3 linked regions of the Arabidopsis thaliana genome follow. The protein of the gene in region 2 interacts with the protein of the main gene of each other region in a pairwise test. Each region holds a gene or a part of one and is shown on either strand. Other genes may lie near its edges.

Evidence for each region.
Region 1: the proteins of ZML1 (region 2) and FRS3 interact in binary tests that used the Arabidopsis thaliana proteins (3 or more experiments, as listed by UniProt).
Region 3: the proteins of ZML1 (region 2) and OCP3 interact in binary tests that used the Arabidopsis thaliana proteins (3 or more experiments, as listed by UniProt).

Annotation. Positions count from the first base shown.
Region 1 is NC_003071.7:11,575,035-11,583,865, forward strand, and holds FRS3 (FAR1-related sequence 3), read right to left. Parts: upstream 5,784-8,831; 5' UTR 5,372-5,783; coding exon 3,218-5,371; intron 3,136-3,217; coding exon 3,046-3,135; intron 2,777-3,045; coding exon 2,627-2,776; intron 2,288-2,626; coding exon 2,171-2,287; intron 1,980-2,170; coding exon 1,935-1,979; 3' UTR 1,634-1,934; downstream 1-1,633. Other genes in the region: SE (C2H2 zinc-finger protein SERRATE (SE)), read left to right, coding at 1-399, 480-528, 644-903, 1,012-1,170, 1,263-1,323; TIL2 (DNA polymerase epsilon catalytic subunit), read left to right, coding at 6,189-6,323, 6,423-6,488, 6,563-6,622, 6,695-6,790, 7,192-7,352, 7,458-7,546, 7,625-7,842, 8,256-8,342 and 1 more.
Region 2 is NC_003074.8:7,419,587-7,427,028, reverse strand, and holds ZML1 (ZIM-like 1), read right to left. Parts: upstream 4,994-7,442; 5' UTR 4,808-4,993; intron 4,208-4,807; 5' UTR 4,198-4,207; coding exon 3,904-4,197; intron 3,788-3,903; coding exon 3,695-3,787; intron 3,622-3,694; coding exon 3,488-3,621; intron 3,400-3,487; coding exon 3,268-3,399; coding exon of another isoform or gene 3,264-3,267; exon of another isoform or gene 2,897-3,263; coding exon 2,791-2,896; intron 2,664-2,790; coding exon 2,592-2,663; intron 2,494-2,591; coding exon 2,431-2,493; 3' UTR 2,124-2,430; downstream 1-2,123. Other genes in the region: ACA9 (autoinhibited Ca(2+)-ATPase 9), read right to left, coding at 81-150, 235-324, 419-550, 621-733, 821-860, 957-1,259; AT3G21170 (F-box/associated interaction domain protein), read right to left, coding at 5,869-7,056. UniProt on the Arabidopsis thaliana protein: Transcriptional activator that specifically binds 5'-GATA-3' or 5'-GAT-3' motifs within gene promoters.
Region 3 is NC_003076.8:3,593,641-3,600,410, reverse strand, and holds OCP3 (overexpressor of cationic peroxidase 3), read left to right. Parts: upstream 1-3,173; 5' UTR 3,174-3,334; coding exon 3,335-3,574; intron 3,575-3,761; coding exon 3,762-4,139; intron 4,140-4,316; coding exon 4,317-4,634; intron 4,635-4,725; coding exon 4,726-4,854; 3' UTR 4,855-5,137; downstream 5,138-6,770. Other genes in the region: AT5G11290 (transmembrane protein, putative (DUF247)), read right to left, coding at 184-1,452; AT5G11280 (tail fiber), read right to left, coding at 2,064-2,360, 2,445-2,676, 2,990-3,090; HY5 (Basic-leucine zipper (bZIP) transcription factor family protein), read left to right, coding at 5,611-5,707, 5,938-6,121, 6,232-6,493. UniProt on the Arabidopsis thaliana protein: May modulate chromatin structure by regulation of nucleosome assembly/disassembly.

The sequences.
Region 1 (8,831 bases), on a different chromosome or scaffold from region 2:
TGTTCATGGTCTGGACTATTACGGAAAGGTTGAAACAAATGAAGCTAAGGGTTTGCGGCATGTGAGAGCTGAAGGAAAAGTTTCTGATGCAAAAGGAGATGAGAATGAAAGTAAATTCGACTCTCATTGGCAAGAGAGGTTGAAAGGTCAAGATCCCTTGGAAGTGATGGCTGCCAAAGAGAAGATAGATGCTGCCGCTACTGAAGCTTTAGATCCACATGTCCGAAAGATTAGAGATGAGAAGTATGGTTGGAAATATGGTTGTGGAGCCAAGGGCTGCACGAAGCTGTTTCATGCTGCTGAATTTGTGTACAAGCATCTCAAGCTGAAACACACTGAGCTTGTCACAGAGCTGACTACCAAAGTTCGGGAAGAACTGTATTTTCAGAACTATATGAAGTATGTAGGCTTTTTCTCTTGGATTCCTCTACTGTCGTTTCTGACAGGTTCGTAATGAAATTTTTTTGTGCTATTTGCAGTGATCCTAATGCTCCAGGAGGACAACCAGCCACGCAGCAATCTGGCCCGGTACATGATCTTCTTTTGAGATTTAATGGAGTGTTGACTAGTCTGTACTTTTGGGTTATCACTTGTTTAGCTTGGTTTGAGTTTTATTTACGTGGGTTAATTATACTTTCAACAGAGAGATAGACCTATAAGACGTAAACCCAGCATGGAGAACAGACTGAGGGATGATAGAGGTGGACGCAGAGAGCGTGATGGACGTGCTAATGGAAATGACAGAAATGATCGGTCAGAAGATCAACAGAGAGGGGATAATGATGGTGGAAATCCTGGGGAAGTTGGGTATGATGCATTTGGTGGACAAGGTGGTGTTCATGTTCCTCCCTTCTTATCGGATATAAACCCACCACCAATGCTGATGCCTGTTCCTGGTGCTGGGTAGGTTTAATAAAGATTACTCACTCCCTTCATGATCTTGTTTTCAGAATAAATTAGTTACTGTGTTGAATCAATGATCTTAATGTGTCTGAATGATGATGTGGTCAGGCCACTGGGACCATTTGTACCAGCACCACCTGAAGTTGCTATGCAGATGTTCAGGGACCCAAGTGGACCCAACCCTCCTTTTGAAGGTAGCGGGAGAGGTGGACCTGCCCCTTTTCTGTTGTCTCCGGCCTTTAGACAAGATCCTAGACGGCTGCGCAGGTAACGTAGTTCACTCTGTGCTATGAGTCCATTACCCTATGATCAAGAGTGCAGTGTCTCTAAGGTACTAATGTATGAGAAATTTGGTGCAGCTACCAAGACCTAGATGCTCCAGAGGAAGAAGTGACCGTTATTGATTACAGGAGCTTGTAGACAAGACAGGGCTAGAGAGATCCCGAGTTTACTGGTTCGGGTTGGGTTAAAGGGCATCAGTATTAGAAGGCAAAGCTAGCAGATTGTGGCATTTTCTTACCCTTTTGATGTATTATGTCTTGTTCCTCCCAATTTTCACTCACTAAAGCGTAAAATACGCACTCCATACATTTCCTTATTGTTTTTCAAAATTTTTCATGTGCTTTCTTACTAATTCTGTTCGACGATGATTACATAAATAGCATGAGAATTTCTTGTATTGAATAATGCGTTTTATCCACATTGTTTGTTATCAATACTTAAGTCTCCATGGCAGTCTTAAATCTCCATGGCCATTAAATATAATCTGCAGTCAAACGAATGACTATCCACAAGAATCCAGGTTTTTAGGGTTCAATGTAAATAAGAAGGATATATACACTTCAAAGCCTGGCTCAATGCCTACCAGATTCTACACACTTGCGTAGATGACGTGACACTTACACATGTTACAATTACACATAAGGCATTGTATCGTAAATCTAACAACACTAATCACAGACGAGCTCTAATGAGGTTAACAACCATTTTCCAAAGTTTTCTTTTCCAGAGGTTGTTTCTCTCTCTCAACATCATTTGCGTTGCTTCTTTGCTTGAGATTCTGTTTGTAGCTCTCCCTGCAAATGCAAGATACCGTTTAGATACTCTATAAGACAATACATAGACCAAGTAATAGTTCAGGAACAATTATAGGTCGATATGAACCTAATTGATTGCTGTTACTATTACTAATTCAACTATCATTGGCCTTGTAATTATTTAATAACTACTACTTGGAAAAAGAAAAAGAAAAAGGGAGTGTGCCTACAACGATTGAGAGCTGCTCACGGATATAGGCCATTGATCTCAACATGGCACCTAGTGTATCTCGGGACACCTGAAACTTGACCTCTGATTCTCCTGTTGTTGTCTCGGTATCTTGAAGCTGGAGTAAGGAAAACAAAAGAAGATTTTTTCACACTGTTGAAACCTTCTAGTTCAATTAAGAGTCCCTAATATGGAGTAAAACATTGATTTTGGTAATCAAACATGAAATTTCATATTCAAGTAGTGACGCTAGTATAAATAACTGCAAAACGTATGGCAAGTTAACATGAATGAGAGAATCAGCTTAAACAAGTCAAACAACACAGAAGTTTCACACACTAACGGTAGATGGAATCTATGTTAGAACAAACCAAAGACAATCAATAAATTAAAAGGAGTTTAGTCAAGTCAAGAAGACTACATGAGAAGCTACGAGCCTAGAGTCTAAAAGACATACCTTCAAATTGATGACAGCTACTCTATTGGCTGGAGATGAAAGTTGCTCGCTAATGTAAGCCATGGACCTTAACATGGGTTCAAGTGTGACGCTAGACAGCTGAAATTTGACATCCATGTCTGCTGAGGGAAACTTTCTGTAATCGTGCAACTGAAAACATCATGAAAAATAATCCTCAGTAAAGCGGTCAACTACTATTTTGCAGGAACGAGCAAGACTATTAATGGCAACAACTTTGATTTTCCTACACTATAGCCAGTAACTTTTCCGAAAAGGCGAATGTCAATTGTTCAAATCTTCAAGATCATTATTCTTACAAATCTAATCTCTTTTAGATAAAGCATCCCATCAGACCAACTTTCAGTAAAAGTTACTGCAAAACCCTACAGAAAAGATTTACTGGTTCATATAATGCACACCTTTAAATTGATAACTGCAACTCTACCACCCGGCATTGTATTTTTACTCTCCATCCCCCAAGTCAATGACTTAAGACAAGGAAGAGCCACCTGTAAGACAAAGTAAATCAAGTTACTGACCAACACCAATAGAATCAAAGAAATAAGTCTGTGAAAGGTTTCCTCTGGGTACCATATTCTCAGGAGCAGTATCATCTCGGTGAAGTGACACTGGTGCCATACGCGGCAGATTCAGATCAGAAACAGATTGAGCTCTGGCCCCACCATCGTTAAGGTTAAATCTGCGTATCATTTCATCCTGGCGCGGCCACAGCAAAGGGGTTGTGTCAGCAGCTGATAGAGAGGTCTTGTCACCACTACCAATTCCACCACCATGTGAGCTAGGAGGCGCAGCTCTACCTATCCTTTTCCTGACAACTGAAACCTTCTTTCCACCTTCTCTGAGTTGCCCTAAAGCAATATTATAAGCTTCAGCTGTAATTGCCCCTTCCTCAGCATACTTGATGGCTTCGCGACATAAATGATTATAGCGGTGTATCGAGCTATCATGCCCATTTTCACTGACATGCTCATCTAACTCTACCATGCTCTTGGCATTTCTTGTCCACCGTCTCAAAATATAATGTGGTGGCAAAGTGAGTATATTAGTGACAGTAAACACCGTCAAAACATGTCGGCAGAGTATGCCGGAGTGCTCAAACATTTGACAGCTGCAGTTTGCTCTCATTTCAGGGTAGCAAAACGTTACTATATAAGCTTTGTTGTCATTTTCAAAATTTGCAACCCTAAATGTGCTGGTAGTACCATCATCTTCAATTCTGTTTGCCGTGTGAGCGAATGTCTCTACCAACTCTTCCTGGAACTTTCCAAATATTTTCCTTGTAAAGAGATTTGCAGCCTGATTCTCCATGGGTGATGGCGTCTTCAAGACTGGAGGTGTGTTGACAGTGTCAAGATCTGCTTCAATCTCCATCTCGAACCAGCTCTCCATAGCCCTTTCGTACAGCCTAAAGAACATCGGAAGGGTTGTCTGCTGATTCACATATCCATCGAAAAAGGAACCCGAATAACCTTGGCTAGGAAACACTGCAGCAAAAAACGAATCCCGGAAATAAACAGGTACCCACTGAGCTCGAGCATTATATAAAGAATTAAGCCATTCATGTCTTCCTAAGTCATATTTGTCAATGACAGAACTCCAGGACGATTCAAACTCCTCAATCGTTTCAGTAAAGTTGATACAATTATATAGCTCCACCTGAAAACTAGGATACGCAAGACACACATGAGCCAGCTTTTCCTGACCTTCTCTTAGCACATCCCACTTATTAATACAGTGACGAGCACCTGGAAATACCTGACCAGCAGCAATCTGTATGGCTCTATCTTGATCAGTCACCAAAGAAACCGGCGGTTGATCTCTCATTGCTGTTAGAAAAGTCTTGAACAGCCAGATAAATGAAGTGTCTGACTCGTCCAAAATAAGTGCACAGCCAAATAAGATAGCCTGACCATGATGATTCACACCAGTAAATGGCGCAAAAGGAACACGAAACTGATTGCACCTGTACCTCGTATCTAAGGTAACCGTGTCACCAAAATGAGTATAAGCAACCCTAGATCTCGAATCAGCCCAAAACACATTTGACATCTGATTATCTTCATCAAGCTGAACCGCATAGAAAAAGCCAGGATTCTCTGCCTGCATCCTCTTAAAATACTCCAACAGATTATGTGCATCCCGTCCAATCGTTCTCTTCGTGTTTGTAGCCATAGACGCATTTCTAGCTCCTCTGCTATTAGCATCCATAGAAACATACATCATACCACTAGGCACATTAACCCCTTCTTGATAACTAGATTTCTCCGAGTTAGCAAAATGCCTACGAGGACGAAGACAATGAAGCATATTAGAACTTGCTAATCCATGAGTATGCTCTTTAACAAACTTTGTAACAACCCATTTCTCATGACCTTGCAACTCTATCCTAACCATTGCATCACAACTCTCAGAAAGCCTTCTCTTTGACCTTTTACTACTACTACTACACACAAATTCTCGAACACTAACAGACCCATCAGTTCTAGGAAGAAGCTTAGAAGTAAAACCAAGCTGCCTCGAGTACTCATCATAGAAAGATTTAGCTTCTTTTTCTGAATTAAACTCCATACCAACACATGGCTCTGCAATTCCAATCTCATCTTGCACCCCTAACGAGTTATCCATGTTGTTCTGTCCACTGCAATCACTAGGTTCAACATCTCCTTCATCTCCTATCTCATGATTCCCCATTGACACATTCTCTTCCACCAAATGAACATCCATAACCTTCACTTAGTAGAGAAGTTCTAATTTCACACAAATGTTTCTCATCTTCATAGTCTACAAAAAAGTACTATTAGTGTTTGGAGATCTTCTTCCGAACATATAAATATGAGGACTTTTTGCATCTCTCACTCTCCGATTGTTTGTTGAGAGAGAGAGAAACCCAGAAAGAGGAGAAAGCAAAAGAGAGAAAGAGGAGCTTACGTCAGTCAGTGATGCGAAGAACTCAGAACTCAGAAGAATCGAAAGTCGTGAAATTAGGGAGAAGGGCAACAACAATTGGGGAAAATTGAGAAGAAGCTATGGCAGCTATTTCGTTTTCAGATTCGACCGGAGGAAATTAAACTCCTGCTTCTTCTCAGTCGTTCGCGAGGAAGAAGAGATTCAAGCACGAAACCGACGTCGTTTCGTGCTTTTGTTGGTTTTTTTTTTTCAATTTAAATAGCGAGACCTCGTTTTAATCTAAACCCAACAACAGAAAGCCCTCATAAAAAGTGAGGCCTCATTTGAACCGAACCCAACAACCAGGAAAGCCCTTGATACAAGAGACAACGCGCGCGAAAGCATTTCATCTTCTTCATCTGTCTTTTTTAGTTGAGCCCTAATTCATTTTCGGATGACAACTTCATTTCCTTGTATTGTCGTCATAAGAATCTCAGGTTCTAGATGATTCTCTCTTCTCTTATTTGATCTGGTTCCATCTCTTCACCGTACCAGTGTCAATCACGAATCCCTTTGTTTTGAACCCTAATTTATTTAATACGCAACACAAGCAATCAATACAAGAGTCTCTTAGCATCATCGGCGTGGGCCAAATATGAGCGGAAGGAGATGTGATCGGAGGTTGAATGTGCAGAAAGTTTCAGCGGCAGATGAACTCGAAACTAAACTTGGATTTGGGCTTTTCTCCCAAGGGGAAACGCGGCTCGGGTGGCTACTCACGTTTGCATCAGTAAGTCACGTTTTGTGACTTCCCTAGTAGTTAGTTCTCTGAATACTGAAAACTTCTAAGTACACTCACTGATTGGTTATTATACTACGTTGTTGGCAGTCATCTTGGGAAGATGCCGATACTGGGAAAACCTTTAGTTGTGTGGACCTTTTCTTTGTCACTCAGGTCAGCTGTGGTCATTGCTACTATATTAGCTTCTTTCTTCGTATCAGTTGCTCAACCCTTTTTGTTTCTTTCAGGACGGCTCTTCTTTTAAGACTAAGTACAAGTTCCGCCCTTACTTGTATGCCGCCACCAAAGTATATATGTTCTCTCTGTACTCGAGTGTTTTCTTCCTATATGTCAACTAAACTGCAATGCCCTTTTTACAGGACAATATGGAACTGGAAGTTGAAGCCTACTTGAGACGCCGATATGAAAGACAAGTTGCTGATATTCAGATTGTTCACAAAGAAGATCTTTATCTTGTAAGTCACTAAAGCATAACTCCTTTTACGCAGTTTGCAACTACCTGTTGATTACTCGTTTCTTTCTCTCTATATAGAGGACTCATGTCAATTACATTTGCTACAACTTTTAGTTATTTTCCTCTTCTTGCAACTTCAAATTGAGCAGCTCTAGTAATAAGTCCAAAACTGATCTTGCTTCCATGTGCTCAAATCATCTATCTAGCCTGCCAAAAACGTTCTTGTAACTCAAAAAACGTTTGCTAGTAAATGTTTAAGTGTTTAATGCTTCTTCTTTAGTGGCAACATTATGCAAGATATGAACGTTTTCAGTACCTCTTGTTTGGTTGTCACTTTTGCTGACCTTTTCTTTGACCTACCATACCAATTTGAGTTTCTTGATTTCTTATGTTCATGAGCAGAAAAATCATCTATCTGGCCTGCAAAAAAAATATCTCAAAGTATCATTTGACACTGTGCAACAATTGGTGGAAGTAAAGAGGGATCTGTTGCATATTGTCGAACGAAACCTCGCAAAATTTAATGCACTTGAAGCTTACGAATCCATCTTGTCTGGAAAACGGTAAGGCAATGTATTTTTGTTCTTATAAATTTCCAGAGTTCTTACAAATTTATCCCTTAAAACTATGTTGTTCCTTAGTTATAATTTCCAAGTCTTGGAATGTAGAGAACAACGTCCTCAAGACTGCTTAGACTCTGTGGTGGACCTCCGCGAGTACGATGTTCCTTATCATGTCCGATTTGCAATTGATAATGGTAACCTATTTAGTCAAACTTTTAATCCTAGTTTAGCCCTCAAGGTTGTCAAAATCATGATGTGTTCTCGCTGTCCAGATGTGCGTAGTGGGCAATGGTACAATGTCAGTATTTCCAGCACTGATGTCATACTAGAGAAGAGGACGGATCTTCTCCAACGCGCAGAAGTTCGCGTTTGTGCATTCGATATAGAGACAGTAAAGCTTCCATTGAAGTTCCCGGATGCTGAATATGATCAAATTATGATGATATCCTACATGGTTGATGGGCAAGGTTTTCTAATTACTAACAGAGAGGTAACTGCTGCATACATTTGTATTGCATTGGATTTGATCTAATCAATGATGATATATTACATGATGGATGATGACCGTTTCCAAATCATAAACGTAGATAAGCTGCTATATAGCCCTTATGTGAATTTGGATTATTTTGATTGCATTCTTAATCCAAGATAAATCAGATATGATCCATACGAAATTATCCCGCTTGTTTGATTGATTGATGTGTGACTGTAAGACTTATTGTTGTGGACTAACATAACGTTTTGCTATGTAATTTAAAACATGAATTTTTTTTCTTAACAATTTTCCATTGGATATATCATCTCTGGTTGATATCTCAGCTCTATTATTTCTTTTAAATATTTGGGCCACTTCAATCTTGTTTGATAAAATTTGTAGTATTAACTTTGCACTTCTTAATTCAGTGTGTTGGCAAAGACATAGAAGATCTGGAATATACACCCAAACCAGAGTTTGAAGGGTATTTCAAAGTCACGAATGTTACCAACGAGGTAAAGTAAATTAGCTCTTGATTTGAATATTTGTATCAGAAAGATTGAGGTGCTTAGAATTAAGTTACTTTCTTGGTTTTGATTTGTATAGGTTGAACTCCTCCGAAAATGGTTTTCTCATATGCAAGAGTTGAAACCTGGTATTTATGTTACATACAACGGTGACTTTTTTGACTGGCCATTTATAGAACGGAGAGCATCTCATCATGGGATCAAAATGAACGAGGTATCACGTTTCCTTCACTGTGGTATTGCTAACAAAATATTCTGTCTGCATCAAATATATGATCTACTTGAGAAATTCTTTGTGACATTATTCACTGATATTTTGTTGTCACCTTGTGAATGTGCCTCTGCTTAAAACTAGATTAGTAATGTGTTTTGCGTTTGAATTCTGAAGTTTTCTTAGAATTGGCAAGGTGGCACTCATCTACCAGACCTCGGTTCTATTTCCCATCCCCAGGGCATAATGTTTTTTTTTTTCCTTCC
Region 2 (7,442 bases):
GAAAGATTTATCTTAAATGGATTAAGAGCAAGATTGAGAATGTTTTCAAGAATTTATCACAGAAAGAAACATGTATATACCTGTAACAACAATGACAAGCAAAACCGCAAAGGCAATGCTTCCACCATCAAGCCAACCTTCTTTCAAACCCTGATCATGAAGTAATAAGACAGAAAATTAGTACATTCCTGATTTCGAAAAACTAAGAACTTATCGAAAGGAAAGCATGTATACCTCTGTCTTTATTCCCAATGCCAATGATGTTACAGCCGCTATGATCAAGATGATGAGAGTTAAATCTTGCCAAGCTTCCCAGAGGAACATCTTTTGGACAAACAGAAAGTTGAAAAAAAACATATGAGTATCCACAAACCGATAAAAACACGGTCGAAGAAGTTGTAAAAGACTCTTTGCTTACAAAAAAGTTTTTCCCCTTCTTTTTTGGGTAAGTGTTAGATCCAAAAGCATTCTTCCTATCTATCACCTCTTTCTCATCCTCATTGATTCCTTGTTCCATATTTGACTTCAACTTCTCTGCAACACCTTTGACCTGAAAGATATATTAATGTCAGCATCAAGAAACCTTCCTATTTATGGAATGTGTGAGTCTTGAATCATACCCCTCCATATTGCTGCAAATTGGACATGTTCTGGTTCCTTGTCATAGACACAAGCTTTTCAAGATCAATGTCAAAGTTACCAGTAGAAGCTGCTGGTGTTGATGATCCAAACGCTAATTGATACCAAAAGAAACTAAAGATTATTCAACAAGAAACCAGAAAACAAAACAGAGATTTGCTTGACTTATAAGAGATCATACCAATTTGTTGTTCACCAGCCAGTTTAAAAAGCAATGCTGCCTGATTCATAAAAGTGATTTATCGATGTGAGATTCAATTAAACAAACAACATTGTTGTTGAAATGATAGGAAGAATTATATAAAGAAAATACATACCCTAATGACTTGAGCATGAGCTCTGATCATCCTCCTTCGATTATCATAATGTTCTTCTTTATTAAGATCCAAAGTGTATCGAAACCGACGCGATGCGTTCAACACAAGAGCGGCTTGTCTCCAACGACGAAGAGATTCAACAGAAGCGTTCTTGGTGTTATCAATATCAAAAGGATCATCAGGATCATGTTGAAGCTCTTCATGATCAGAATGTTCTTCAGTTTTAGCAGAACCAGCTTCCATGTCGTCATGACGTCCTGACATTGACGTCAGAAGCAATCCGTTGCTCGACGAAGTGCTCATTCTTCCTTCCTTCGTCTCACCCAGCTTTCTTCTTTCTTTTAAAATTCTATTGAAGAATTCGAAACAAAAAACGCAGAGAAAGAAAAAATAGGAACGACCGGTTTTATGATTTGGTCGTTATGGAGAAAAAAAATGATGGTGTGACGGAAGAGAGAAGGCCTAACTCGAGAGAAGGCAACAAAAACCGAAACACTTTCTCTCTTTTTTTTCTCTTACCTCTCTGTCAATCACAGAGAAAAAAAAGAGAAACTAATTTTTGAGTTTCTAACCAACATTAATATTTTGATTTACCCTAAAAAAAAACTATGAAAGAAAATGGAGAGAGGGTTCAAATTGAATGAGATCATTACTATTTTTGGTTTGGTTTGGCAAAATTTGTGGGAAGTTAGTTTTTTTTTGTTTCTTTTTATGGGAAAGAGAAGAAGAAAGAGTTTTTTCCGGGTAAGAAGAAGAAGAAGAACATGGTGGCATCTCTTAACATGGCATATATCTAACCATCTCATTTTTTAAAACAAAAATCTTTCCTTCTTCTCAGATCTAACTATGTTTTCGTTTTGTAATAAGTGGTATACCATTCATCTTTATAACTTATAAAATTATTCTAGTATTCTGATATACTATTGTTCACCTCGTATCATGTGAAGAATGGTACACTAATTATCTTCATACCTTAATCAGTTCTTTCTAATCAAGTTTCCAATAAAGATAATGGAAAAGAATAAAACAATGTGACAGAGAGAATAGTGAAGTTGCTGAGAAATTTCGTTTTAACCTGATGAACGTGTGTACGACATTAAGGTCACTTGGGTTGCACGACATAACCAATCATTGTTTCTATTTTTATACATAGATTGCATTATCTCTACTAAGTCTTAAATATTTAACTAATTGTAATCAAATACAAGAACAAAAAAAAGTTTTCTGCCTGAAAATATAATCAAACACACAGATGAGAGACTGAGCAAAGTTTTTTTTTTCTTTTCTGATGAGTGAGCTTCTAAATAAGTGAAGAGTGTCTTATAATTTGTAGAAGACTAAAATGTGCCCACATAGACTGAGATTAACCCAGAGAAACCCTAAACACAACTCAGATTCGATTCCATCATCAAATGAAATGATAACAACTGTTTTTGTTTGAGATCCTTTCTTGCTTCCAATGGTTTCTCAGTTCTCACTGTGTGTTGCTAATGTCACCAGTTACTTCCATCATTTGATCAGCCTCAAGATTTGCGTCCTGCAACAAAAGTGATTGAGAAAAAAAAAATGAATGTATGTTCTCTTAATAAGCAAATCAAAACTCCAGCTCTATGAAATACTGCGCTCACGGCTCACCTCATTCTTATTCAGAGATAGATGCTGAGGTGTTTGCGGAGGAGGGACTTTGGATAGGTCTCTAAGAGTCCCCTGATATTATAAAGTCAAAGGGAATGTTATTGTTAGGTTCATACTCGGATATATAGGCCTGATCAATGAGTCAAAAAAGTGATACGAGACGAGGTGATCAATGTGAACTAAGAAACTCTTAGCTTACCTTGTTTGCCCACATCAGTCCACACGCATTACAAAGTGTTCTTGGCCCATCAGGTCCACGTCGCATCATTGGAGTTGACTTCTCACTTGTTCCACAGTGTCGACATCTTAACATGTTCACAACCATTTGACGAAGAATAAGAACAGAGACAAGCTTTCCAAGTATACCAAGCTATAAATAAGTTCATATCAACTACAATGACTTAACATGCAACAACATAGTCGGTTCAGTTATTTTTATCCTCTCACAAGTATAAGTTATCAGTTGCAGGTATCGAATGAGTGATGCCATCATGATAAGTATAACTATAAATTTCAGAGTTGACGTATATAGACAAAGTTTATGGAAGTGAAAAGAGCGTCATTAAATGGTTACCAAATAAATTGTTTCCATGTATTAGACTTAATTGAGGTTTTATAACGAGTTCACTAAAGTTAATATAACTGTTGTAAGAAATTTAAAGCATTTTCAACTTACAAAACCTCTGGCTTCTGAGTCTCAGTCCCTTCTACGGCCCAGCTCTGGTTTGACCCCCAATCCGATCCAGTGGATCCAGAATCATCATTGCTTGATTTAGCCGACGTGAACTGACCTTTCTTACGCTGCATTCTGCATGAACAAACAAAACCTTAATTGCAAAACAGACGTATCTCAAAAGCTCGACATACACAAAAGCTAGTACTTGACATAAACGTACCTCAAGGCTACTTCTTTCCTGACTGTATAGCGAATAGTCTTATCAAAGTTCCTCCCTTTTCGTTTCTCCCTAAACCTGAGCAAAGAAGCTAACCGCTGCGGAACGCTAAGCCGTTGAGGAGTACCAGATAGACCCTGGTTCATTTATTAGTCAGCAACAAACTGGGGAATAAACTGATTTCCCATATGGTATTAAATCTTTTATTACCAGTACCCTATTGTTCTGATGAGGTGATCCTAGGGTTGTTGGGAGTGTATGTGGTACTTCCCTTCCACCAAGTAACAAAAGCACAGCTTGAACCTGCATAATATTGAGCAGCACTTCAATAAGCGAAAAACAAAACCAACCAGGTGGATACGTTGACCATATGTATCCAAAACTAAAACATCAAAGAACCAAAATTAACTTAAAGTTACCTTCTCAGGCGAGACACGGTCAAAAACATAAACTTGTCCCTGGAAGGACAATGTCAATTGATCTCCATTTTCAATTCCACGGTCTACAACTTCACCACGATTATCAGCTGAGTTTCCAGGGTGAGAAGGAATGTCTGTCTCCACTCCTTCATCCATCCCACCATCAGCATGGTCATCCATCATACTGTTTTCATTGTCGATATGGTGCAAACCGTGATCTTCATACTGCACATGCATTGGATTTTGCGCTACACCAATGTGCATTCGACCATTTCTTCCATGAAGATCATCCATGGTCTTTTTTCTGCAATTTGTTACCAATTACATCCAAAGGAAGATAACATTAATTAAGACTGGAACGTTCTTAATAACGAAAAAGCGAGATTGTCAGAGACGGTATAGGTTGAAGAAACTCAATAATGGTGGATATATTCTCACATAAATTGAGTTTGCAAATACAAAGAAACTATCTCCACCTAAGGGAAAGGAACTTCATTAATAGTTATCAGCACTGATATAGTACAAAGGAGCTTCTTTTATAACAAGAGTAGATGACAATAATCTAATCTCGAGTAAACAACAACTAACAACAGTCAACTACCTTAAAACGTAACAATATCTACCCAAATCCAGTAAAAAAAGTTTCATCAATCAGATTCGAATTGGAAAAAAAGTCTCCTTCTCTCATGCTCATAAGTCCTAAGCTAAGTCCCAACCTTTAAGCTAAGAACAAATAGACAGAACAATTCCAAATCCCACATATAAATGCTTCCAACTAAAAACCCTCCAAATTCGACAAGTTCATCTACAAACTAGAACCCACTACCTATATCATACATACAAAGACTTGTCACTTGGACAGGGCAATCAAAACAATAAACCAAAATTGACATCAAATGGGTACCTTTTGTGCAGAGGAATCCAAGCGAGAAGAATGAAGAGCCTTTGCAGAGCTAATTCACGCGAAACAATGAAAGATAAAGAGGATTTGATTATACAAAGAGAGAAAAAGGTTTAGGGAAAAATCCCAAAAGGGTAAACGGAGACGAGAGCGAAAAAAGGAAGCTCCTTTGATTTTTTTTTTCTTTTTTGGTCTAATGATTGTAGTGAAAGATTTTTCATTTTTCTTCAGCAAACGTCGTCGTTGTGATCTTGGGCCTTTTTTAGCCAAACGGCGTCGTCTTTGTGAAAGGCTTGACACTCCCTATTCTTTGGACCTCATCTTTAATTGGCCTCTATTTGAGTTCATATGTTTTTCTTTAGTGGTTTCAGGTTTGATCAAGATACACATTTACTCTTAATGATGCCAAAGATATAAAGACATTGGAGATGGTTTAAGGTCGCCAAGGTTTTTCACATAATTCTTTTAATCTCTTTTGTCAAGATATCTTTCTTTTACCAAATGACAATGTGGAATTACATTAGTTAATTCAATTTGTACCCATCTTTAAAAACTTCTTGTTGTTTTGGTTAGAAATCATATATAATTATAATATATCTCTACAAATAAACCATCTTAACACAAAATATCTTAAGTTAGATGGAACCACAACCAATTCTTCGGTGGAAAACAATTGACTCAACTATATCTAATATGTCAGATTTTAAAACTAAATTGCGTTCCTCTTTCATTTCTTAATTCCACAATATACAATTTTATTTTGATTTTATTTGCTTTTCCCTTATTCTTGCACAAAATTTACATATGTTTTGCTCTAATATGTTCTAAGCATTTCTAATTTTTTTCCTTTTCAAAATTTTGGTACTTAATAACTAATTGACCAATTATGAAAATGCCATGTGCCTCGAATTATCCACTAGCAAAAGGGTAGCAACAAGTTATAACTTAGAAATGCGTACATATATCTTACTTATAAAATATCAAGAGTTAGATTAGATAATGCATAGACTAGTGTGACAATTACAAGGCCATGCACTGGCTGACTTGGTGCCTCCTCCAAAGAACTAAATACCATGTTGAATTTGAACCAAACTTGGAACATATATGAGGAGACGTGGGGTAGGAGATAATTCATGTGTAGGTTTTGCACCATGATGATCCAATTCTATGAATTTATCATTTTCCACAATGTGTATGATGTCCTTGGAGTGCCGGTTGGGTCTATGACAAGAAACTACAACAATCTTCTCCTTAACTTGGTATGCGAAGAAACTCACCCCTTCCCTAAAATGACAACGATAGCGTAGACCAACTCCGCCCCGCAGTATTGGGAACTTGCTCCATGACATTGCTCTGGTGTTCTCACTAGTCTTCGTTGCTATCCATAAGTTAACGTTTGTTCCGGTTACGTATGTGTAATTAGTAGATAACATACAAAGTCGTTTCCCTTGTCTAGTCACTGATAAAGCCAAATGACTATCACCCTCTGGGAGAGACTCACTTCCAAATCTCTCTGTTGAGAAATCAAAACTTAGTAAGAATTGTTCACTAATATCAAACCAGTAAGTGATTCCATTTACAGACACGCCACTGGTGATATTTGGATTGAACAAGCCGGTGATCACACCAATACTCCTCCACGAATTAGAGTTAAAGTCATAGATTTCGTACTCGTAACGTTCTTGGCTATTGTTGATAACAAGATCCTCCCCCACGATGTTGTACACGTAACGTTCTTCGCTAGGATTGATAAGACGACCCTGCCTCAAGATTTTGTACTTGTTGCAAGAGGATCTACCGAGAGCATAGCAGTCATCTTTCTTGTAGCAAAATCTTGGTTGAATCCACCTTGTTTCACCTGAAAGCGGATTCCAAACCACCAGTCTATAGTCCTTGGTGGTGCATAGCAATAAGCCATCGCAGTGAAAGACGTGGCCTATATCGACTTCTGTTGAATAATTATTAGAAAGATGTTCTTTTAGGCTAAAATGACATGTTATGTTAACATATGGAGCAACGCTATTGTGAATTCCACGGAGATTGGATCTCACTGAATAAACCTTATGATCAATCAACACGAGAGCCATAGAGTGCCTTGGAGCATTAGAAGAGTGCTTCTTAGAAAGTTTCCCATCTTTGATCAAAGTGTTCCATCGTTTGGATGTTGATCGTAATCGTGCTAGAAATACAGCCGGAACTCTAGAGAGTATCTCCACTACCAAATCCTCCGGAAGGTCGTTGAACGTCATCATCTCTCACACGACTGTGATTAAACCAATTTTCAAAGAATCAAGATGGAGAGACGATAGAATCAAGATTTTTAATCTTCTTCTTTTTTTTTCTTTGATTTACTCTATAAATATGGGAAGATCATTTATATATATAGGAAGGAGGAGATCACGTAATTGTCTTTTATTTTATCCTTTACACTAATAAATATGGAGATTTTTTCTTTTTGTCCACACAGATTTTTAACTTCTTTTTTTCCTAAATTTAATTCTTACTATCTTTCTTTTTTCTCAACATTTATTTATCATTATTAATTTTTTCTATTTCTGTGGTTATAATTTTGTAACATTAAAAGCATATTCAATTAAAATTAAATGTAAATAATTTTATATAAATATGGGAAGATCAT
Region 3 (6,770 bases), on a different chromosome or scaffold from region 2:
TTTCCTCACATCCCTCAGATTCTTTTCTCCCTAATCTCAGTCTAATGGCGACTGGATTCACATACAACATTCAACAAACCCACACACATAACTGGTAATCTTATGTTGCTTCTGTTACAAGATTCTCTGCATATATAACATTCCTCTTTCCCAACATTTGATTATCCTTTACTGTCTCACAAGTCATAAAGCTAATATAGAGCATATAGCCTGAACGAAAGTAAGAAGGAGAAGTACACAGGCAGCCACAACAGAAGCAGCTGACCAAGGATTGTGGAAATAATCACGTCTCAGAGTTGCTTTCCACTTGTTCCAAGGCGCATTGCAATGCGCTTGTAGATTCCCATAGACTGTCTTATAGTAAAACCCGCTGTAACTTGTCTCTTTCAATATGCTATTGAACAGCCTCGAAACGTCTTCTGCATTTCCAAATCTGTTCACAATGATCCCGTGGTCAATGAACAACTCAGCATCCATGGGAGATCTTATGAAGCAACTGAGGAACCTCATATAATGAATGAAGTAAGCATCTAAACGATGACATTGCTCAAACAAGATGATGTTTCTGTACAGAGATTCTGTGATGTCGTTGATCTTGATTTTGGGAATCGTGAGGACTCCGTTTGCAAAGCTTATGTCAAGTGCGCAGGTGTTGTTATCTGCGGGCTGGAGCTTAACACCGGCATTTTGAATCTCTTTTGCACTCAGTACAGAGTCCATCATCCTCATGCTTCCTCCAGGAAAACTCAAAACCAAAGGCAGGTGAATAGATCGCAGAAGGTCAACAAAATGACAGATCTTTGAATCAGAAATGCTTCTCGAAAATGAAGGGATGCTCATCCAGAATTTCTTGAAGTGGTTGTGAATGATTCGAGTCAGAGGGGGAAGTTCCCTATGGTAGTCAACATGTAGCAATCCAAACATCCCCTCGACAACAAAATATGGAAGCTGATTTTCAAGTAACATAACGTCATGGTTCACATCGACAATCATCTTTTGCTTCCCATATATCCTATCTAGCATACCTCTATATACATCAAACTGAGACCTCAAAAGAAGTTCTACTAGGAAGCTTGCATCAACGATTAACATCTTCACATATTCATCGCTACTAAGTCTTACATCTTCTGTGTAACAAAAGCGAGCCCTTTCTTCCCATGTCCTTGCAACTCTTACCAGGTCTTCCAAACTTAAGGCTGTTCTAGGAATAAAACTCTGTAGGTACCTAAGTTTATGATCTTCCATGGCTTGAAGTTCTTCTTTACCGTAGTGTAAGGGTCCAATCGACACAACCCGAGGCGAATAAGCATCGGGGTTCAATCTGCGCAGCCTCTCAGGTGCCTTATAGATACAACAGTTGGTTGAAAGAGAAGACAAAGATTCCAAGTTCTCTTTGATGGAATCCACAAGGGCATCACCTGGAAGGACTGTAATACCCTGATTCTGATCCATGTCTTATATGACTTCAACTACACCAGAGCTTTGAATTCTGTAAAGATGAGAGAAAACTTGTTTCTTGCACTACTGGAGAAAGAAATTGATAAAGAATTAGTCAGAAATTGAAAATGTCAATGGCAAATCGTTTGTGCCTTTCAAAAACACTATTTCATTTGACCAAGAAACGCATACCATTGGTAGGACTTAACCAAGTCATCCGAACCTCTCGTGGTGAATGTTATAGGCTTTTCGGTTAAGTAAAGAGACGCTATATTATATGGGGAAAGGGGGGACTTTATCAAGGATTCATTCCTCAAAAACTACAGTTAATAAGCTGTTACACGAACAAGTTGAAGAGCAAGATGGACGAATTATGAAACTGGAAGCAATACGATGGTTTTTCATTGGAACCCCTTGTATTGCTACTCATTTCAATTTTCGTATTTATGTGCTTTTTTGATATTGGAAGATATTGACTACTGAGCAGTGTCCTAGAAAATAGACAATTCATGAAACATAAGGTAACTGAGAGCAAAATATAGTGACAATGCCATTTTCCGGGACATTTTCCTTTCCCGGGTGTTGGTACAAAGACAGGACACAAGCCCTATTAAGTCTCAAAAAACTCACTTCAGCTTAGATTTTGAAGAGCTCATTAGAGGTTTAGCAATGGGACGAGCTGGAGCTGCCCTCGTGGCTTTCCTCAAGTCATACTTTATCATAGAGAAAGCGCAGATCATCGCAAGCACCATAGTTGGGTACACATAAACAGTTTTGGCTGGGTCAGTATTTACTGGCTTCCCTAAGATCCCTTCTTTAACAAGACCCCATACTAGTAGCAATGACCCAAACATGCTCATCCTTCCAGGCTTTAGCAAACCCACAAACGCCCCAGCTACAGAAAAGTAGCTCCCTGCAAGAACCTGTACAAAATGTATCACTTGTGAGACTATTAGTAGAATCTTAAGTGAACTGTGTTAGGAGCTCTTGAGATAGAATAAGCGAACCTCTAGGCGTTGAAGATCGGTCACTGCAGAAGCTTCTTTCACATTGGTGAGATTGTAGATATCTAACACATTTTCCCACTTTGGAAATGTCATGTTGATGGCAAGGCCATTGACTACAGCACCAGGGTATAAGAGAGCCTTAATCATCGGAACAGGAAAGATCTCACTAGAAATCAACTGAGACGATGTCACATGGATTGGCGATGAACACATACCAGATCTACATGGAACTCTGTTTTTAAGATTACGATTCAAGTCAGATCAACCAGAGAGACAAACAAACCAAGTAATGACTAATGATCCATATTATTAAGATTCTAATCAACTGATAAAATTTTGAATCAGCTTAGAGTTTCATACTAAAACCAGCTACACAAAAATGCGGAAACTTGAAAATGAATCAGAAATCAAGTTTTTCATTAATCAACCTTACGCAAGAGAAAGACTAAGCGTCGTCCACATATCGGATTCATAGACGCATCACTAGATAACGAAATATAGGGTTCGAATTACGCAGCTGAGAGTTTGTTTTAGTATGAATTTACCTGAAGAGAGGGATCTGGAATAAGATCAAGACGAAGTAAACCGATGAAGCCATAGACGTCCATTTCTTTATCCATCCCTTTGATTGCCCTGGGTTCGCCATTAACAAGCCCGCAAAGAAATCAAATCTAGAGAGAGAGAGAGAGATGCAGAGTGGACCCGTTGTTACCAGACGATAACGACGAAGAACAAAATAAATACTTTATAAACGACACGCTTTGCTACACTGTAAACACAAAACGGAGTCAGTGTTTAGATCTTTAAGGGATAAACGACGTCGTTTACAAAGATTCATATAAAAATCCGATTATTTTTCTCACTGCTGCTGAAAACAGCAAACAGTTTTGATGATAAAAGCCATGGCTCTATCTTCTGCCGGCGTCGTCTCTCATCTTCATCCTCCGTCGTTTTCTTCGTCGTCAGGATTATCCGTCAACAGAGTTCTGTTTCGGAATCGGAACGCTAGTCCTTGTGGTCTATCTCTTCCAATTCTCAATCCGTCTCGGTCTGTACTTGTTTTTGCTCGTGGCAAGAATCGAAAAGGATTCGTGTCTTCGTCTTCTTCGTCTCCGAAGAAAAACAAAAAGGTAAGAAAATCAGAATGAGAATGATTTATGTTCGCAATTGCTCTTACCTGCTGCTTTCGCCGAATTTGACTAGAATTTGGATACACTAACTAAGTGAGCTATTATCGGTTAGAATTGGTGAATCCTCGAATTAGACTTTGGCTCTTTTTGATTTTGTATCAGCCTTTGATTTCATGGTTTGTGGCAGAAAAGTTTGGATGGAGCTGATAATGGAGGAGGTGAGGAGGAGGAGGATCCATTTGAGGCATTGTTTAATCTTTTAGAAGAAGATTTGAAGAATGATAACTCGGATGATGAGGAGATAAGTGAGGAAGAGTTAGAGGCATTAGCCGATGAGTTAGCTCGAGCATTGGGTGTTGGTGACGATGTTGATGACATCGACTTGTTTGGTTCAGTCACTGGTGATGTTGATGTTGATGTTGATAATGATGATGATGATAATGATGATGATGATAATGATGATGATGATGATGACAGCGAAGAAGATGAAAGACCGACTAAGCTGAAGAATTGGCAGCTTAAAAGACTGGCTTATGCATTGAAAGCTGGGCGTCGTAAAACTAGTGTAAGTTTTAGTTCAGTGTTGAAGTGATGTTGAATACATTGTGTAAAGCATAGTGCTTGAGTTAGTGTCTGCTTTGGAGATTTTGCTTACGAATTGTTTAAGAGTTGACAAAGAACAAGTAGTTCTCTGGTTTTCAAATGCATAATTGATAACGGATGGTTTTGTTGTGATCTGTAGATTAAAAATCTGGCAGCTGAGGTTTGTCTTGACAGGGCTTATGTTCTTGAATTGCTTCGTGACCCGCCTCCAAAGCTGCTAATGCTAAGTGCTACACTACCAGATGAAAAACCGCCAGTAGCAGCACCTGAGAACTCCTCACCTGATCCAAGTCCTGTGGAATCATTATCAGCTGAAGATGTTGTGGTCGAACCTAAGGAAAAAGTAAAAGATGAAGCAGTTCATGTGATGCAACAGAGATGGTCTGCTCAGAAAAGAGTGAAGAAAGCTCACATTGAAACGCTAGAGAAAGTTTACAGAAGATCAAAACGACCCACTGTAAGGATTCTCCTTTTACATTTGAATCAATTTCTATGTTACTTGAATGCTCTATCTCACATATGATCATGTTTGATGATGCTGTGAATAGAATGCTGTGGTTAGCAGCATTGTTCAAGTGACCAATCTTCCAAGGAAGCGAGTTTTGAAGTGGTTCGAAGATAAAAGAGCAGAAGACGGAGTTCCAGATAAGCGAGCTCCATATCAAGCTCCGGTTTGATCTAATGTTAACGTTGAGATGGCAATGATTTGTATACTTGATTCTCAGAAACTCATCAACATTGTCGTCAAGGACAAGTTTTTTTGGTGATACGAGGAGTGTTTATAGTAGTAGATTCTGTCCAATGGTGTGGCTGGATATGTTGGACTATGAAATTTTAGGATATCTTGTATTCAGTTTTTAGTTATTTCCTTGCTGAGATTGTGTCTTGTAGAAAACCGTTTCAACTTTGTTTGGTTTATGGCGGCTATAAAGTTTAATTTTAATGCATGACAAAAACAAATCACCAAAAATAAAATAAATTACTTTCACGACACTTTTGAAAGCACTGCCCTAGGCGTGGGCCATGTGACAGAATGAAAGAACTCAGACCAAACTTTTCTGTCCAAGGACAGGAATGGGGCCCACCCAATTAGCTCCCCTATCCATTATTCACCGTAAGATGCTAACCAGATCTAACGGCTAAAATCCACCCACGTTCCAATCTCAATTGCCTTTGGATCCTTGTATTTCCTCAAGGCTCACCTTTCTCCACGATTCACTCTCGATATCCGTTCGATTCTTCAGAGATCTGACGGCGGTAGCCAGAGTAATCTATTCCTTCCCAAAATGTCTCGCAATTAGATTCTTTCCAAGTTCTTCTGTAAATCCCAAGTCCCGCTCTTTTCCTCTTTATCCTTTTCACCAGCTTCGCTACTAAGACAACAAATCTTTCCCTCTCTCTCTCGCCTGATCGATCTTCAAAGAGTAAGAAAAATGCAGGAACAAGCGACTAGCTCTTTAGCTGCAAGCTCTTTACCATCAAGCAGCGAGAGGTCATCAAGCTCTGCTCCACATTTGGAGATCAAAGAAGGTAAACAAAAATTGTCGATTGTTTTATTTTCATATCTTCTCCCAACGAGTGATCTCATTGATTTTCATTCTCATGCATTGGATATCTAGTAAATTCACATCTAGATTTTGTATCACCATTGATTCACATCTAGATTCACAACTTTTAGTCTCCCCCAGAAGATCTGCAATTTTTTATTGTATTTAAAAAGTTTGAAACTTTTCGTCTAAAGTCTCTTTTATGTTTTAAAGGAATTGAAAGCGATGAGGAGATACGGCGAGTGCCGGAGTTTGGAGGAGAAGCTGTCGGAAAAGAAACTTCCGGTAGAGAATCTGGATCGGCGACCGGTCAGGAGCGGACACAGGCGACTGTCGGAGAAAGTCAAAGGAAGCGAGGGAGGACACCGGCGGAGAAAGAGAACAAGCGGCTGAAGAGGTGTCTTTTTCTCTATTCATTGAATTTACATTTTTACCCTTTATATGGAAGGTGATTATGTTAAATAACGGTTGCGTGATGGGGTTGTTTGGTAATTTTGTGGTGAAAAGGTTGTTGAGGAACAGAGTTTCAGCTCAGCAAGCAAGAGAGAGGAAAAAGGCTTACTTGAGCGAGTTGGAAAACAGAGTGAAAGACTTGGAGAACAAAAACTCTGAACTTGAAGAGCGACTCTCTACTCTTCAGAACGAGAACCAGATGCTTAGACATGTACGTTTTGTCGATCTTACTGTTGACTTAACCTGCAACGTCAATGCTTTTGCCATTTGTTTTTTGATATATCACAGTACTGGTTTATCACATTTACGAGTCTAGGATTGACCAATAATTAGTTTAGTTAGTTAAAAGGATCTAAGAAGCTAACTTAAGCTTTAGATTAATTCTCAGAAGGCATGTAGGTTCTTGAAATGGTCATTCACTCGCATATTCTCTCAAAAGGCATGTAAATTCTTCAATGGTTCTTGAAATGCTCACTCATTTTGTTCTATATGAATGGAGAAGATGAGATTGCAAAGTTGGATCTCTATGTGTGTGTGTGGTAATAAAGTCTTTTGAGTTGTTATGTTTTTTATGTGGTGTAGATTCTGAAGAA